Linked DNA regions of Rattus norvegicus. The protein of the gene in region 1 purifies or fractionates together with the protein of each later gene. This does not show direct contact. Links are inferred from orthologs where the notes say so. Each region holds a gene or a part of one and is shown in the gene's direction. Other genes may lie near its edges.

Region 1 (4,309 bases):
ATTTAAACTTATATATGAATATTATCTATTCCAAGAAGTTTGAAATTAGGTCTGGAAAAGAGTTTTATTCAATATAGGTGGGGACGAAATAACGAGCGGGATTAAGATGACAAATATCTTTTGTGCATGGGAGTAGGTGTTTAGATTCTGTAGGATAGGACGAAAGACCTCAGTAGCTTCCATGACAGCCTGAGGCAGGATAAAGAAGCAACAAGAACAACGAACACTTTTCTCTTTGTAGCCCTGGCTGATCTGGAACTCGCTCTGTAGATCAGGCGGCCTTGAACTCAGAGATCTGCTTGCCTTTGCCTCCCCAGTGCTGGGATTAAAGGCGTGCATCACCACGCCTAGTAAACACTTCTGGAGACAAACGTGCATTTTTGTTTGATGTAAAAAACACGCTCTCATTTGTCTTCATCTGTTGCCATTCGTGTTCTCACAGGGCAGCGCGTCTTCTGGCCTAACCTGAAGTTCACAAACGCCGAGATAGACCGAACTCTCTAAGGGGAGCTGACCGATGCAGCGAACACAGAGTTTAATTCTGAGGAGATTTTTCTTCTCAGGCGTCCAACGTCACTTAACGTCACGCTAGTGAGCGAAGGCGGTAGGACGACGAAGGCCAGCCCAGGCCTCTGCTCCACGCCTAACAGTCGCCAGGCAGTCGCGCCGTTCCCAAGCGGGCCTCTCTAGCCGGCGGGAGACAGCGAGCGGAGCCGTTACGGGAGCGCCGAAGAGCCAGCTCGCGTCACACGAAGGAGCGAACGCGCAAACCTCCGCCGACGCGCCTCCTCGAGGCCCCGCCCACTCGCCTTCCACAACCCGCTGGCGGCCCGGAGGAGGCGGAGTCTAGGAGGAACAGGCGCATGCGCCCTCGCAACCCGGCCCTCGAAGGGGGAACTAGCGATCTCGCGAGGGTTGAGAGCGGGTGGCGTAGGTCGCTGTCTGGTTGGTTGGAGAAGATAATCTACTCCGGTAGAGGAGAAGGCGCCGGGAGACCTCTGAGTACCTTTCGCTTTCCTTTCCCTTTCCCTCGGCCCTCCGCCTCCTCACAGTCAGCCCGCCCTCCCTGACCTCCTTGACCCCGCTGGCCCCGCCCACCCTCGTCGACGTGATTCCCGCCGTGAGGTAAACGCCAGTGGAGCGGAGTCCCGCGGAAGAGGAGGACTAGGCGAGCGTCGCGGCTGGGCCGGCTCTGGTCGGTGGCGGAGCCCCTGCGCGTGAGAGCTTCCGGGCGGGTCTCGCTCCTCCGGCGGCCCGGACGCTAGAGCCGCGCAGGCCCAGGCCGCTTTCCTCGGCGCCGCGCCTGCCCGTGGCCGCGGCGGGTGACGCAGCCGGAACATGTCGTCCACGGCTGAGCCTCCGCCGCCCCCGCCTCCCGAGAGCGCGCCTTCCAAGCCCTCGGCGGCGGGCGCCGGCGGGAGCAGCAGCGGCAACAAAGGCGGCCCGGAGGGCGGCGCGGCGCCGGCGGCTCCGAGCGCCACAGGCGCGGGTCCCGCGGACACCGAGATGGAGGTGAGCGCGGCCGGGGCGTGGGGTAGGGAGATGGATGCTCTGCTGGCGCGTCTCCCGCACTTCACCTTTACGTTTTCCCCCTCGGTGTAGCTAGCCTAGCCAGATCGCGGATCGCTCTTACGAAACACATGTTCCTGATTACTGTGGCCGAAGGGACCCGTTTCCTCTATCGCTAGGCTCCCCCAGAACTCGCTCGGGTTCCTCCGATTTAGGTTTTAGTTTGCACTAAACTTTGAGGAGGGCGAGGGAAATGCCCCTCCGGAGTGGGATTCCCGGGGCGAGGGCGACGTTTCCCAGCGTCGCAGCTGAGGACTTGCGCCTCCAGTGCCTCATCCCGTGCTGGCGGGGGCGGCATCAGTCTGTTCTGGGCAGAAACAATGGCGAGAACTGGAGGGCCGAATGCGCAGTGGGGATAAGCGGGGCGCAGCTGCTTCTGTGCAGCGAGGGGAGGCCCCTCCTGGGCCCTGCTCCACTGGGAGGAGAGCGAGCATGACAGCCGCAGCACCTGTCTTGGTTCCCCATCCAATTAGGGGTGTATGCGTGGAAAACTGAATGAATGGGAGCATCGGGGGAGGGTGATGGGCTCCTAGCCCAGTACGTTGCTTCCTTTTGAAGCCATTTGGAGGAATCGCTGTTGAACCACCTTCTCAGGGCTCTAGTGGGCCAGATGATGGTGACAATACTGGAGGAAGCAGGGAAAGGGTGGAAAATGGGGGAGCTGCCAGGCAGGTCTCTTGGATATGCTCCCAGGCTTTGAGTTGCCTGGAAACCAAGTTATTGCTCCCAATTTTTATTCTTGGCCTTGGTCTTGTTTTGAGGTGTTATTATTATTTGAGGTTCCAGTCTGAAGATTCCTGGGAATTTAATCCTCAGATTGGAAGTAATACAATAAAAATGAACCTTAGCATAGAATTTACACTCTAAGGAGATGATGGTGCAGTGTGCTTACTTTTATTGGGCAGCTTGGGTGAAATATTGTTAATCTTCGAAACAACTTTTCCTGGGGAAGGTAGGTGCTGGTGTAGTGCACCAATTTGAAGTGAATGCAATTTCAGTTTAAAAATGTATTTGATGCTCCCCCTATGGTTTTAAATGGTTTTTAGAGTTTCTAGGGTTGTTTAACTTGGATTCTTATATTTCTGTTCCATGAAATAAAGGAATCTGGTGGCTCAGGCCTTTTAATCCCAGAACTTGAGGCAGAGGCAGAGGTATCTCGTGAGTTTGAGGCCAGCCTTGTGTACAGAGCTAATTCCAGGACAGCCAGGGCTACACAGAGAAATCCTGTCTCAAAAAACCAAAACAATAAGAATAAACAAGTAGGAACTATGACATAAACAGAAAAGGAGTGAAGAATAAGATTGAGAAAAAATAGAAACTATTGGTATTTCTATACTGAGAAGACCCAGTTTACTCGTCTGGTTAATGGAAATACCACTTATTTGGGCTTTTCACATTTATGTTCATATTTACATTTTAATTGAAAAACAGCAACTCAAGAATTAAAGAATTTCATTGGGGTTTAAATTCTCCTGGTTATTTTATTCCCTCTTAAGACAGTTACCTTCAGACTGCTTTTCATTGTCTTAACTGAATTTAGAATCAGAACTAGGTTTGAGTTGAGTATGTCTAATGTATTTGAGGACCTTAGGTATGTTTTACAGTTGGAAAAAAAGACTGAATTATAGACGTAACATCTGCAGTTGGAAAACACACATTATTATTGTAAGGTGTACTTTTCCTTGAATGTGTGCTACAAGAATTTTTCTATAAGTTAGAGCTGGAGGTTTTGTCATTTTGCTTGTGGCATTTGAATGTCAAGATGCTTTTTAAGAATAGAATATTATTAACTGGGAGTCAGACTAAGGGTATGCTATGTAAGCTCCTTTTTTGGGTAATGTCCTAGATAGTGGAAATTAGGATCTAATGCTTCCTTCTATGTATACATTTGTATAAAATAACACAGTAGATAGATGGAGTTTTATGATATAAAGAGAACTTTGTTCACATTCATGTTACCTAATTTGTATTTATAATTTTATTTGAAAAGATACAGATTTGCCCGTATGGCTTGTATAAAAAGTAATTTTGTTTTAGGGTGTTATTGATACTAATTTTATCATAGCAGATCTTAATACAGTTTATAATTGGGAAAAGTGATTATCCCCATAGTATTTTATTTTCATCCATATTAAGTTTCATTCCAGGTTATCTGATAGCCAGTAAATATCTAGGGAGTTTGGAGCAAGAGTATATTATTTAGAATGATTTTTTTTTTTGAAAGAAATGAGTGTATGATAGTGAGTAGACAATCCTTAAACAATTTGATGAATTTCCTTTCCTACCAGGAAGTATTTGATGATGGATCACCTGGAAAGCAAAAAGAAATCCAAGAACCTGATCCTACATATGAAGAAAAAATGGTATGTTCTAGACATGTGAATGGTTTTAATGAACTTTTTTCTCAGGATAATTAAATCTACTAAACATCTGTATTTACTTAGATGCTTTTAGAATGTCAACAAAACAGCTTTTTTTTTTTTGTAATTATAGAGTGGTATTCTGTTGACAGAACAATTATCCTTGTATAAGCTGCAACAGAGACAAAACTGAAAACCCAAAAAACTACCAGTCCACATATATAACTAATTTGTGCTATGTATCAGATACAAGAGCCTGTTTTAAATTTCCATGCCACTTTATAATCCCCAGGCTGTTCCAGGCAAGGTTAGTGGCTATTGAAAACACTACAGGACAAGGCTGTCTAAAGACACCTTTGGTAGTGTGGTAACTGTACAGG
Region 2 (3,997 bases), on another chromosome or scaffold:
GAGCATATTCCCTTAGCCTGGGCAGGTCTCCACCCCCACCCGGACACACGTCCCAGAGTCTCCAGGCTCTTGCCCCATCCCCCCAGCCTCCTAGCCACATTGTGAGCACTCGCGCCCCGCAGCCGTGCTCGGGCGAGGGCAGTCACAGGGCTCAAAGCCAGTCCCCTCTAGGGCTGCTGCACGTGTCCGTTCCCTGGGGTGGGGGAAATTGCTCTTCCCGCTAGGCTGCTGATTGGTGCCTCCCCCCGTACTCCACCCTTCCCGCCACACTCTCCCCTCCATCCTACTTGGTTCCAGCCTAACCAGCCCCACCACCTCCATCCCTTGGAGGGGCGAGGCACTTTAGCGCTCCCTGAAGTACGGTTCTCAGATGGAATTAAAAAAAAAAAACCAAACCAAACCAAACCAAAACCAAAACAAGCGCTAAAGAACAGGTGGAAAGCGCGTCGTTTCCCCGGGCCTCCGGTTCCCAGCGTGGACGGCCCACTCGCTCTCCTGCACCGCCCTCCACGGCAGTAATAACTGAAATCCCACACGTGCGCACTCCCGGAGCTAGTCCCCAGCGAGAGCACCACCCCGCGGGCCCTTTAAAAGGACTCGACCACTGAGGCCACGTGGGGGTGGGAGAGACCCTTATTGTCTTCCGTCACCAAAGTCGCCCAACTCCCCGGCCCCAAACACCTGCACCTCAGAGCGCCGCTCCCACCCGCCCGCGGGCTGCGCGCGGGCCCCTCCGCGTCACGCGCAGCCCCTCCCGGGGCGCGGCCGGCCCGCTCCCCCTCCCCCTTCCTCAGTGCAGCTGTCCGCGCAGGGGTGGGGGCGGGGTTGTTGTTGTGGTGCGCGCCGGCCCCGCCCCCTCCTCGTGGGCGGCCCCTCCCCCAGGCTTCTGCCGGGCCCCCTCCCCACCCCCAGCCCCATCTGTTTTCCTCAGCGCTGAGTGGATTATATTGTATGGGATTGGGGGCGGCCGCACGGCCGCGGCGGGACGGGGCGAGCGCGCAGCCCCCGCCGGCTGCCCGAGCAGCGGCCGCTTCAGCGACTCGGCCCGCCGCCCCCCGCCCGGCGCGCCTCAGCTTGAGCTCACGCCGAGCGGCGGGAGCCGCCGCGCGCTGAGAGGCGCTGCCCGCGGCCGGAGTCCGAGCGAGCGAGCGAGCGAGCGAGAGGGCGGGCGAGCGAGCGCGGCGGGGAGATGTGCCCGGAGGAAGGCGGCGCGGCCGGGCTGGGCGAGCTCCGCTCCTGGTGGGAAGTCCCGGCCATCGCGCACTTCTGCTCGCTCTTTCGCACGGCGTTCCGCCTGCCGGACTTCGAGATCGAGGTGAGTAGCCGGCGCTGCGCCCTTTCTCCGCGCTTCTCTACGGGGAGTCGCGGGCCGCGGACTTGGCGCGGAGTGCGGCGGCGAGGGGCTCGGCGGCGGGCACGAGGCTGACGGCCGGCACGGGCTCCCCGCCGCCCCGCGCGTTCTCGCAGGCGGGGGTCGAGCCTGCTTTTGTCGGCGCGGGACCCGAGGGCTCTCCCGGGACTTCTCGGCCGGCCTGAGGGCGAGAGTGCGCGCGCGCTCCCCTCCGGAGCTCGGAGGCGGCGAGCAGCTGCTCAGGCGGGGACCGGGACGGGATGCGGGCTCACGCGCCGGGGGCCACAGCGGCCGGGCGGGAGCGGCCTTGGGCAGGGGCGGCGTTGCTCGGGAGACGCTCGCCCGGGTCGCACTTGGCCGACTTGCGGAGGCCCGTAACTCTCGGGCGCTTCGAGTCAACTTCGGGCGGGCGCAGATGGGGCCTGAGCTTGGGGCGTTCTCCTTGTGGGACCGCCCGTCGCTCACTGTCGCTCACCGTCGCTCGGGACGCCGAGGCTGTGGAGAGAAAGTTTTGGGGTTCTCCCCTTTTAAAAACAGCTCCTCTTCTGAGGAACGTGCAGCCTTTCGTATTCGGGGAGCTCTCTCTTCCAGTTCATTTCGCCACCATTATTCCCCCGGGCGAGCGAGGAGGAAAGAAATGGCTTTCTGGCCAGGCCGAAGGTGCTTTTTCAAGACCCGAGGCTTTGTGATAACTTGACTAAAATCGGAGGGTCCTAATGACAAGGACGGTGGCGGGAGTGTGGGAAACGGAATGTATAAGATGGTCCAAAGCAGCATCCCTGCTTTTATATTTGGAAGGAGTTGTGAAATATATGATTGGTTGGCAGGCTGAGTTGCTTTCTTTTATGGTAGTCTGTGGAGTGACTTAACCACCTTTTTTCCTTGGGACAAAGGTACACGGAACTGTTGTTGGTCAGTTACAGTTTTCAGTTTTGTGGATGCCTTTACAACTGAAATAATCAAAATTAAAATAATTTATTTGGGGATTCTGGCCATTGTGGTTGCCTCTCCACCCCCACGAATCTTGATTTTAATTTGTTGACTCCTGAGGTCTTTACTCACCTTTATTTTTAAGTCCGTTGTGTTTGCAGAAATATCACTTGCTTCTACTATGAATGAAGCGTGGGAACTTAACTCTTGTTGCAAAGTTAACGAAATTGGAAAACTAAAACGATCACAAGGGTTGGGACAGGAGAATGAAGAGGAATGTGGGCTGAGATTGGGGCTGTTCGTTGACTTTTGGAGGTATTTTAAAACAATGTGAAAAGGTTGGTAAGATTTTCCAGGTCCTGGGCATCTCCAGGGTTTAGGAAAATGTAACTTGGCAATTTAACGCAACCTCAAATCGTTTATTTACAAAGTTTGAATATGAATGTAACGAACACTTCTGTGATGAAATTTTGTAATGAAGTCGGACTACAAAGATTAACGATTTCAGGAATCGTAAAGGGGAAGAGATGATTAATGATTCTGATGTCCTGTGTTTCCTTTTAGTTAGTTTGAAATCTCGAGTAGTTTAATTAAATCCTGCTGTTCAAAATGGTGGCTGCCGTGTGTGTGTGTGTGTGTGTGTGTGTGTGTGTGTGTGTGTGTGTGTGTGGTGTTTCTTGTGACAGTTGCCATCTTGGGTGCTGATAAACTTGTCCCAATCCATTTTCTTTTAAGAGGAAGTAAGTTGATGTGTGGATTACAAATTGAGTGTATTTGAAAACGCTATTGTTGGAAAAAATGTCACTTTTCCAAGTTCTTATATTCCCATTTTGTTGATAAAAAGTAGAGGAAACTCATTTTGTCTTAATTATACTCAACATATTTAAAGTTAACCTCTAATTTCTATCCTTAAGTAGTAAACTTCAGGTTCTCAGTGTTTGTTGGCCTAATTCCTCTACTAAAAGTAAGCTGTTATTGTCCTTTACAGGGTGAATAATCAGGTCTACTTGACATGGTGTCTTTTAATTCTAGTGGTTAAGAAAAAATTATGCTGTGTGGGCGTGCATGCGTCAGGGAGTGCTTGTGGAGGCTCAGGACAATTTGAGGGAATTTGTTCTCTCCTTCCGTGGTGAGAGCCCCAGGAATCAAACTTGGGTGGTCAGGCTTAGCACCAGTTTCCTTCACAGGGAGCCATCTCTCCTAAGTGTTTCTAGAAAGATGCACTTTGTCACTTAAAGTGTGCTTGTTACTTGGAAAAACATTCAACACATTAATATCCTGATTCCAACATGTGCATACCTTAAATACTAACAACCCTTTCTCCCTTCTGCTATGGAGATGATCAATAAATGTGTAACAAATGATAATGATTTTCTCCTCCTGAATTTCCTATATTTTATTTAGTGTTTTGAGTAGTTACTGAAAGATGAAAAATATCTAGAATTCTAATTCTCTAAGAAATTTGACTTTGACCCATCAACAATGTAGAATTCCCCAAAGATGCCATCAGTAAATTTGTTTTTTTTCCCCCTTATGTGATTTGAAAAACATCAACTAGTTTATGGGTTAGGTCTTACAGAACAGTGTTAGACCTTGTCTTAAAGTAAAATATACCAGTACCAAGCTGTATGTACCTGGTAGGCACATGGAAAGACCACGTAGCCCTGGTTCCACTTGAAAAGCTAGAAATGAGGACTATAGATTACAAAATAGTCA
Region 3 (4,170 bases), on another chromosome or scaffold:
AGTGGCACCCCAGCTTCCTAAAACAGACCTTTTCTTGTCTGCCTCACTTGTGTGACAGGTAGCAAGTAAGAGACAGACAAAACTCATCTTGTTCTAGTGGCTTTCCTTTGCTTCAGATCTGAGAACAAATACCACTTTTCAGAGGCCAGCCTATCACACAGGATGACACTTCCCATTGGAAATGATATTCTTTCTCAGTACATCTGGGTGAACATAGTCTTGAAGGCAGGCAGCATGGCTACCTTGCTCACTGACTGTGCCTCTTTAAGCCTGACACTAACACTGAGCATGCGTTCTACATCTATGGTCTTAACCAACCTGAGATACAAAGTATCCAGGAAGAGAAATCGTCCCTGCTGATTGGACATGTAGAAATCTCTTATCACTGTTCCCTAACAGTCCAGCAACTATTCAGATGGCATTCACAAAGTACTTATCAAGGGTACCCAGATGTAGGCCTTATATGAGAATGTGCCTAGGCTCTATGCAGCTACCTTATGCATTTAAAACACTTAAGCATGTACAATTTCAGTATGTGTGGGGATCTTAGAACCAATCCCCCATAGATACCGGGGGACAGTTGTATTTTATTATTGGACTAGGATACACTATGGTAAAGAAAGCTGAAACCAAATGTGATCCAACCTCTAACATTCTGCCAGCCTCCAACTATATTTAGTGCCAATTTACGAGTTTTTGACCTCTTCAGACTGCATTAACTTTATTTTCCCAAGTTCACTCCACGAATTTCATGTAGGTAGAATTTCAGTCTGGTAGTGTCATCTGCCATGGTGTCCCACTTTCTGATATTCTTCGACACTGCCCTCTGGACCACTACTTGATAGGATGTTTCTAATCGTCTTCATTCTACCTTGTCTCTGCATTCTATTCCTTAAGACACGGTCCATCTTCTTCAACAAGAGCTTGTGGGGCTAAACTGGCCTAGAACTCTTGGTGATTCTTTTGGTTTTGTGGTGGGACTACAGAAGACTCAAGGACCATTTAGTTCACCTGCCTGCTTAAGAGGTTAATCCCCATAAGCTTCAAGACATGGGTAGGGTTGCCTTTTCTCCCTATTCCCCTGGCCAAACTGTTTGACAATAAGAGTGTGGCTCATGCTTGCTGGCTCCCTCCAGAACATGACCTCATAAGACATTTCTTTTATTTTTTTCAGCTTTTGAAAGGGCAGGTCTGTGCAGCTCGGGTCTTCCCGAAGTACTAAGACGCTTGAAAGCGCTTCTTCCGGGAGATTGCCGCAGCGTTTCCGAGGGGTTTTTCCTGGGCGCTGTCTCCCAGGCTTTCAGGCCACCGCGCTACACGGAGTCTGCGCAGGCGCGGCCGCGCGGGGCATCACGGGCCGCCCGGACGCGGAAGATGGCGGACTCGGTCGTGGGTAAGGACAAGTGCGGGGAACAGCGGCTCGTGTCGCTGCCCCTGTCCCGCATCCGAGTCATCATGAAGAGCTCTCCTGAGGTGTCGAGCATCAACCAGGAGGCACTAGTGCTCACGGCCAAGGCCACGGTGAGCGGCCAGCGGGGCGACGAGAGGGGCGGGCACGGGCACCAACCGCCCCTTGGGCTCCGCACACTCCTAGCCTTTGGTTGCCCTGCGGGAGCCGGGAGTCTTGGTCTCTCCCTGCGCCTGCGCATTACACACCCACTCTCCCGTGGTCTTAGCTCCGCCCACTGCGCCGCTCCCGCTGTCCTTTGCGCTGCTTTTGCTCTGCATCACTTCGCTCCCAGCGTTCTCTGCGTTCCGCCTACCGCGTCACTCCCGCCCTGCTTCGCACGCGTGAGGAGCTAAGTGCGGCTGCGCGAGTTGACCAGTGAGGAGGGCGTACTGTCTACTTCTTTTCTGTCGCTGACTTCCCGCAGAGTGATGCGAGGGTTCTCGAAGCATCCAGGACAGCTTGCAAGGATGTCTAGGGCTCTTCAGCCCTCAGGACTCTGGAGGTAGTCAGGTTTTAAGCAGACAACCGCTGGTCACAAGTTAGACTCTAGAGACAAATTATAACTGCACACCCCCCTCCAAACACATCACTTTGTTTCCTTATTTTTATATTTCAAGTCAGCTCTCAGTATTTCTCCTTACCTTGGAACCCTGTAGGCCAGGATTACCTCAAACTCAATCTGCTTGCCTCAGCCTACCAAGTGCTGCTGGAACCATACTCTGCTACCCTGGTCTTGGCCCTTCTGAGTACTGGGATGAGAATTTCCTGACACCACTCCTGGTTTAAAGTTTGGTCTTGTTTGTGGTAGACCGAGAACCTTACTGTTCTGAGACCCGACATGATTACTGTCTCTACATTCTTTTCCAGTCTCTGCTTCTAGAACATCAGTGCGTAGTATCTTTTACAATATTTTATAATATTGTAAAATTGTAATATTGTAAAATACTACAAAAGAAATACAAATCTTGTGACTACAACTGTCAACCTTAAGTTAGAGCCTGACAAAATACAGTTCCCCAGTTTCCTTGCATTGGTCCTCCAAAGCCAAATACAATGTTAGGATAACAGCCCCTTTTAGACAGTGGTGCATATTTACACGTAAACTGTACATGTCTCATTTCTAAGTCATCTCAGGATCATGGGATCAGGATTATTTGTGTGGTGCTGGGATTCACATTCTTTTGTAGGATTCTAGTGTTAGGACCTAAGCACTATGCAGACAGTTCTCTGATCACTTATTAGCTGAAATAATACTAAACCTTGGGGAAGGCTCAGTTTTACTTTCTGAGCATTGGGATCTCGTTAGTTCCACACCTAGAAGGTACTTGGGCAAAATGAGATGTCACCTTTCAGCCTGAGGTTGTTGGTTTTTATTATAGTTGTGAGTGAACAACTGACAAGGGATTCAAGTAGGCTGAAAATGTGTTCCTAAGACAGATAGGTGGCAGCTCACATCTGTAATAAAATCCTTTGCAAGCCAGATATAATTTGGTTGGTTGGTTTTCCTTTTATGGAGACATGGTTTCTCTGTGTAGCTCTGAGTGTCCTGGCACTCTGTAGACTAGGTTAGCCTTGAACACAGAGATAGGTCTGCCACTGCCCCTCAAGTGCTGGGATTAAAGGTATGTGCCACCATGCTCAGATAACGTTTTTGAATGGTCTTTTACTCCGTTTTGTGTAGGCTGGTAACACCTCCTTATAACCCCTCCCCCATCCTTTTCAGACAACAGCTCGTGTAGCCCAGGCTGGCCTTGAACTTGATATATAGCCAGAGCTGCCTTTGATTTCCTGTGCCTCCTACCTCTGCCTAAATGCTGATAAGTATATACCACAGCACCCCCCAAAACCACTTGTAAAATATTTTTCATATTTTTACAGTCATTTGTAAATATTTATATTATACACTTCAGCTCAGCTGGGAAATGCCTGCTGCTTCCTGACTGACACTCTTGCTTCCTTTCTGATTTCATGTTTCTGTCTCCTGTAAATTAATTCCCTGTCATTTAATTGAGGAACCAAGATAATGTGAAGTATTAATGGAATTTTAAGGTTGTAAACTGTGTGATTTCTTGTTGGTTTAGGAGCTCTTTGTTCAGTATCTAGCCACCTGTTCCTACAGACACGGCAGTGGCAAAGCCAAGAAAGCGCTGACATACAGTGACTTAGCCAGCGCTGCCGAGGATTCAGAGACACTTCAGTTTCTCGCAGGTACTTAATCTTTGGGACATTCTGGTTAAAAAACAAAGAACCCTTGTAGTGGGCTATTCTCCCCTCTATTGTTCTGCTCGGTGCCTCGGTTTATCTGATCTGGCACAGGGAGTTGTTACCAGCCTCCATTTGAGCCCACCAAGAAGCCAACAGTACACAGAAGGTGCATCCATGGCCAAGCAGACTCACTGAGAGCTGGCTGCTTGTCCTGTTCCCCTGCACGCCAAACAAAGCAGCGGGTGCATGCAGCCATGGGTCAGACTCTGACTAGAAAGAGCTTCAGTCTAGCCCAGGGGCCAGTTTAGCCTCTCAGCTAGCTTGAACAGTGTTCACAAAATCAGGCCATAGAAACATGTTTACCAGTGTGGAATGCCCAGGAAACAATGCCCATTTCTGTTATTCTTCACCTAGAAGCACACCTGGATTTCATCTTGTTTAGAAGGTTGTCTAGGGTTAAAGGTGGAAATAATACATTGTAAAACTTGAATCATTGTAGTCATAGTTTACCATAA
Region 4 (4,229 bases), about 31 Mb from region 1:
TGTGCTCATATATAATAAATAAAGAAATTAATAGTTCACGCTTCTAATCTCAGCATTCAGGAGGCAGAGGCAGGAGGATTTCTGTGAGTTTCAGACAAGCCTTGTCTACATAATGAGCTCCAGGACAGCCAGGGTTGCCCCTTCCTCCATCCACAATACTTCCCCAAAACACCTAAGTCCTGTGACTTTGACAAAGCAAAAAAAAAAAAAAAGAACTTCCTCCCTATAGCAGTGCTGTTAGCAGTACAGATGAAGGCTGGGTCTTTTAGTAACAAGGGACCAGCTTCTGGTTGCTCTGATCGAGTGTGCACTGTTCACATGGAAGGCTATTATATACTTACACTAGGCTACAAGAACAGGGTCTTTATATTAAACCAGGCTCAGGACATTGCAAATGCTTACTGGTCTAAGTTCTCCTCAGCAAACCAGAAGAAACTGTGTTTCCTCCTGTTTCTTAGAGAAAGAGTAACTTTTATTTATTTCTTTTTTGTGTGTTTGTAGGGGGGCATTCCTGTGGCAGTCAAACTTGTATGAATCAGTTCTCTCTTTCCACCATGTAGGCTTCCGGTGTCAAACACATACCCAGAGGTTTGGTGTAAAATACTTTAACCCACTGAACCAATTCGCCAGTCCTCTTAACACTTAAACAAAAATGTGTGTGAGCAATAGAAATGTAGTGATTTGGTGAGAAAACAGCGTATCTTCCACCTCACCGGGGATGCTATCCAGATGTAGATGCTAAATTACAAATACACACTGCTATTAATCCTCATCACTCTGAATCCAGCAAAGAACAGACTGTCTTGAAATACACATCATAATATTCTGCCTTAAATACTGAAGACTTAGGGGTAAAAAGAGAACAAGAAGGGCTACTATTAGGTGACCAGAAAGAACAGAGAATGCAGAGAAGGACCCATGAGTTCGTAAAAGAGAATACAAAGCTAATTGTTTTTCTAATTCTAAGTTTTCCATGGAGTTTTCCGGGCTTGTATGTGTACGTGGTAGATAAGTACATAAAAATGTAGTTGACAGTGAACGTGTAAAATCCAAAGTGAAGTTCCACAGTTTCAGAACTTCTGTTCTAATTGCATAGTTCACGGACCTGTGAAGACTCTGGGTTGGGGCAGGTGTTTGGCTACATTAATCTGCTTGCCTGACATTTTTTATTTGCGATTTCTTTGCAGAAAGGATTTTTTTTTTAATTCAGGAATAGTCAGAAAACTTGGGCAATTATTTGTTTAGGTCGAGAAGAGATTTTTAGACTAAACCTGGCAAGGAGTGGTGTATCCTCAAAAGGTACCGCGACCGCGCTCAGCAAGCTATTCGATGCGCTCGACGCTCTTTCGCTGGCGCCGTAGCACCGCGGTAGGAGTCTGCGCTCTGGGCTCGACTGAGGCTCCCTGGTTGCTCGCGCTTTTCTCTCCTTCTCCAAGATGGCGGCGGTCGGCGGCGCTGAGGCGGGATCCGAGCGAGCCGAGTGAAGGTAGCGGCGAGCGGAGCCCCCACCAGACCCAGCCGGACCCCCACCCCGGGGCGGCAACGGCCCTGCCCGGCCTCCGCCCACCGCTCCGGCCCCCCGACACCGTCCCGGAGGCTCTTCAGGCCCGCCGCGGCCTAGCTCAGGGGCCAAGCCGGGAACTGGAGTAGCGGCCGCAGCCGCCCCGGGGAAGGGGCTGGAGCGGGCCGCAGGAGGAAGGCGGCGGGAGCTGTTCAAACCGGGAAGGCGGGAAAGCTGCGGGGCCGGGAGGGGGCGTGCGGCCGCCCCAGGGACCCGCGGCCCGCGCCGCCCCTCCCCCTGCGCCGCCGTCTGTGCGCTCCGGGGCGCCGGAGGCCGACGGGACGCGGGAACTCGGGTCGGGAGGAGCGCGGCTGGGGACCCCAGGCGCGGGTTACCTGGGGCTGTCAGGAGGAGAGGTCCCGGGCCGACGGGCGGGAGGGCTGGGCGCGCGGCGAGCGGGAGAGGATGCGCGGAGCTCCCTGAGCTGCGCAGAGCTTTGTTGAACTAGCGGTTGCAGCAGACCTGCCGAGGTTAACAAATCGGGGACCCCGGGAACGGTGGTCTTGGGGACTGTGTGGATAAACAATCTCGTATTGTGTGTGTTCTTTGCGTGCGACTCAGTTTGAACATGTCTTAAGTGGAGTCATCTCCATACAGGCCCATTTCCCCCTCCACAACCACTACTTGTAGATTCACTTTAGTTTATATCATACATCAGACAAGATATGTCTACCGCCCACCCTACCCTTGTTTCTAGTACTGGCTGATTCTATTCCCTTGTAGCAAAATAAATTTTTTTAAAAACTGCATCCAAAGTAAAGCCTGTTGATTACGCATGGCTTGTCAAAATTTGGATCGCAGGTTTCGTGGAACCGAGTGTGTTATTAGCCAATCTGTGCTGTGGTCGTGATTACACTTATTAGCATTGCAACGAGAAGATTCAGTGCGCGTTTCTGGCTGTAGAGATCTCTGCAAGTTCCGAAGCTGGCAGGGGCTGGAGTGCTGCTTAGGTAGGTCCTTGGAAAAGGGTGTGGCGAGAAGAACTCCAGGAGATCGGATAAGGAAGGAAACCCACTGAAACAAGAATTCACCTGTGCTACGGTAGAAGTAGCAACAAAATATCAGAATCTGTGGACATCTGGAAGTGTTTCTTCCTTTGACTGCGTGGACTGGCAATCTGAGTTCCTAGAAACAGCCTTGGGGGAAACCCCCATCTGGAGGACAGAGACCTTCCTTGCCCAGTTTACTAGGTGGATTTTCTTTCTCAATTCTCCAATCTGTTCTGGGATGATGATGATGATGATGATACTGTTAGCGATTGCTGGAATAGAGATTACCTCCAAAAAACTCATTTTCTGAAACTTTTTTTTTATAGTTAACACTTTGAATTTCCAAAATAACAAAATTCTACCTTTGAAGATTTTAACTTTTTTCATAATTACTTGGTTATCCCAAAAGCCTGTGCTGAAGGTTGACCTGCAGTTTTACTGTCAAGTGGAATTAAGAGCCTGCTTCTCCTTTCCCATACCCTGAAGAAAAGCCTTGGAAGAGCCCAGCCACCGTGTTCACGTTTTCTAAGCATTCGCTTTCTATATATAATGACGTAAACAGTATTAAACAATGAATGAGCTTTTCTATGCTGTCATGTCTTTGCACACCAAGACAAACACTAACTGTAAGATTATCCTGATCCAAGAAGTTGACAACATTGAATTTTGTAAACTCCAAAATTATGGAATTCGAGAGAATGGATTTTGGCGCCTGTTTTATGTTGCCAACATTTGATGTAGTTTTCTGATGTGAAAATCAAACCTAAATTTTTCATCTTCATTAACCCTCCCAGTTTACTTCCTACCCCGGAGTCCTCAATTTAATTGGTGTTTATCTAATCTTGTATAAATGTTCCTGAACTCTGCTTTCTTTCACACTGCTGCTTGAGACCTTTTTCCCCTGGTACTGTCTTATGAGTCAGCTACCATGGAACCCTGAGCCACCATTCAGGGCCCGCCAATCTGCCCGGCCTGTGACTAGTCCATAGTAGTTCTCGGTTTCTGGACTTCCCTACATATTGGTGACCTGGACTTGTGTTCAGGGCTCACTCACTCTTCCCATGAGCATCTGGTCTTTGTTTTGAGAAAGTTCCAGTAGTAGCAGGTATGACCCTAATACAAAAAGCCTGCACATCTGTGTTGACCTGCCTTAAGGAACATTCCCTGATTTTACTTTTCCAAACCATTTTTAAAAATCTACTAGTTTTTCACAGCAGTCAGGAAATAACTTTTCATACCTAGTAAAAAGTTCAGTCAGCTCCCACACCAGTAAGATACTGATTAATTCTGTCTCATCAGTTTTAATGTTCTCAAGGAGGAAAACCTGTTTATGAGTCTCTGAGCCTGCCTTTACTTACGTTTAAAAGTGTATTGGTGTTTGACCAATACACTTTTAGTGGCTGTATCATGAGACTAAATATGGATGTTGTTGGACTGGGAAGGAAGAGGGCATTATTTCTCAAGAATTCTATGCCAAAATTCATCTGGCATGAAAAGCCTGAAACTTCAGTCTAAAATTGTTTTACCTAGTATCAGCCTGTGAAAGCCAAGGGGACCTGTATGGCTTTCTAATAAACTCATCGTTTTTGAACTAGTGAGAATATTGCCCTTGTTTTGTTTGAGAGATTCTCTCTAAATAGTCCTGGAATTCATTATGTCAATCAGGCTGGCCTTGAACT

What was found.
Region 2: the proteins of Smarca5 (region 1) and Cecr2 purify together in Homo sapiens (affinity purification with mass spectrometry; 3 studies listed by BioGRID and IntAct, with this or other methods). This does not show direct contact. The link is inferred for Rattus norvegicus from reciprocal best matches to the Homo sapiens genes SMARCA5 and CECR2.
Region 3: the proteins of Smarca5 (region 1) and Chrac1 fractionate together in Homo sapiens (co-fractionation; 5 studies listed by BioGRID and IntAct, with this or other methods). This does not show direct contact. The link is inferred for Rattus norvegicus from reciprocal best matches to the Homo sapiens genes SMARCA5 and CHRAC1.
Region 4: the proteins of Smarca5 (region 1) and Hmgxb4 purify together in Homo sapiens (affinity purification with mass spectrometry; 3 studies listed by BioGRID and IntAct, with this or other methods). This does not show direct contact. The link is inferred for Rattus norvegicus from reciprocal best matches to the Homo sapiens genes SMARCA5 and HMGXB4.

Annotation. Positions count from the first base shown.
Region 1 is NC_086037.1:44,174,834-44,179,142, forward strand, and holds the start of Smarca5 (SWI/SNF-related matrix-associated actin-dependent regulator of chromatin subfamily A member 5), read left to right. Parts: upstream 1-1,506; coding exon 1,507-1,512; intron 1,513-3,857; coding exon 3,858-3,932; intron 3,933-4,309. UniProt on the Homo sapiens protein: ATPase that possesses intrinsic ATP-dependent nucleosome-remodeling activity.
Region 2 is NC_086022.1:155,561,600-155,565,596, forward strand, and holds the start of Cecr2 (cat eye syndrome critical region protein 2), read left to right. Parts: upstream 1-1,189; coding exon 1,190-1,315; intron 1,316-3,997. UniProt on the Homo sapiens protein: Regulatory subunit of the ATP-dependent CERF-1 and CERF-5 ISWI chromatin remodeling complexes, which form ordered nucleosome arrays on chromatin and facilitate access to DNA during DNA-templated processes such as DNA replication, transcription, and repair.
Region 3 is NC_086025.1:106,900,691-106,904,860, forward strand, and holds the start of Chrac1 (chromatin accessibility complex protein 1), read left to right. Parts: upstream 1-1,362; 5' UTR 1,363-1,374; coding exon 1,375-1,521; exon of another isoform or gene 1,522-1,952; intron 1,953-3,531; coding exon 3,532-3,658; intron 3,659-4,170. UniProt on the Homo sapiens protein: Forms a complex with DNA polymerase epsilon subunit POLE3 and binds naked DNA, which is then incorporated into chromatin, aided by the nucleosome remodeling activity of ISWI/SNF2H and ACF1.
Region 4 is NC_086037.1:13,369,138-13,373,366, forward strand, and holds the start of Hmgxb4 (HMG domain-containing protein 4), read left to right. Parts: upstream 1-1,421; 5' UTR 1,422-1,486; intron 1,487-2,004; exon of another isoform or gene 2,005-4,229. UniProt on the Homo sapiens protein: Negatively regulates Wnt/beta-catenin signaling during development.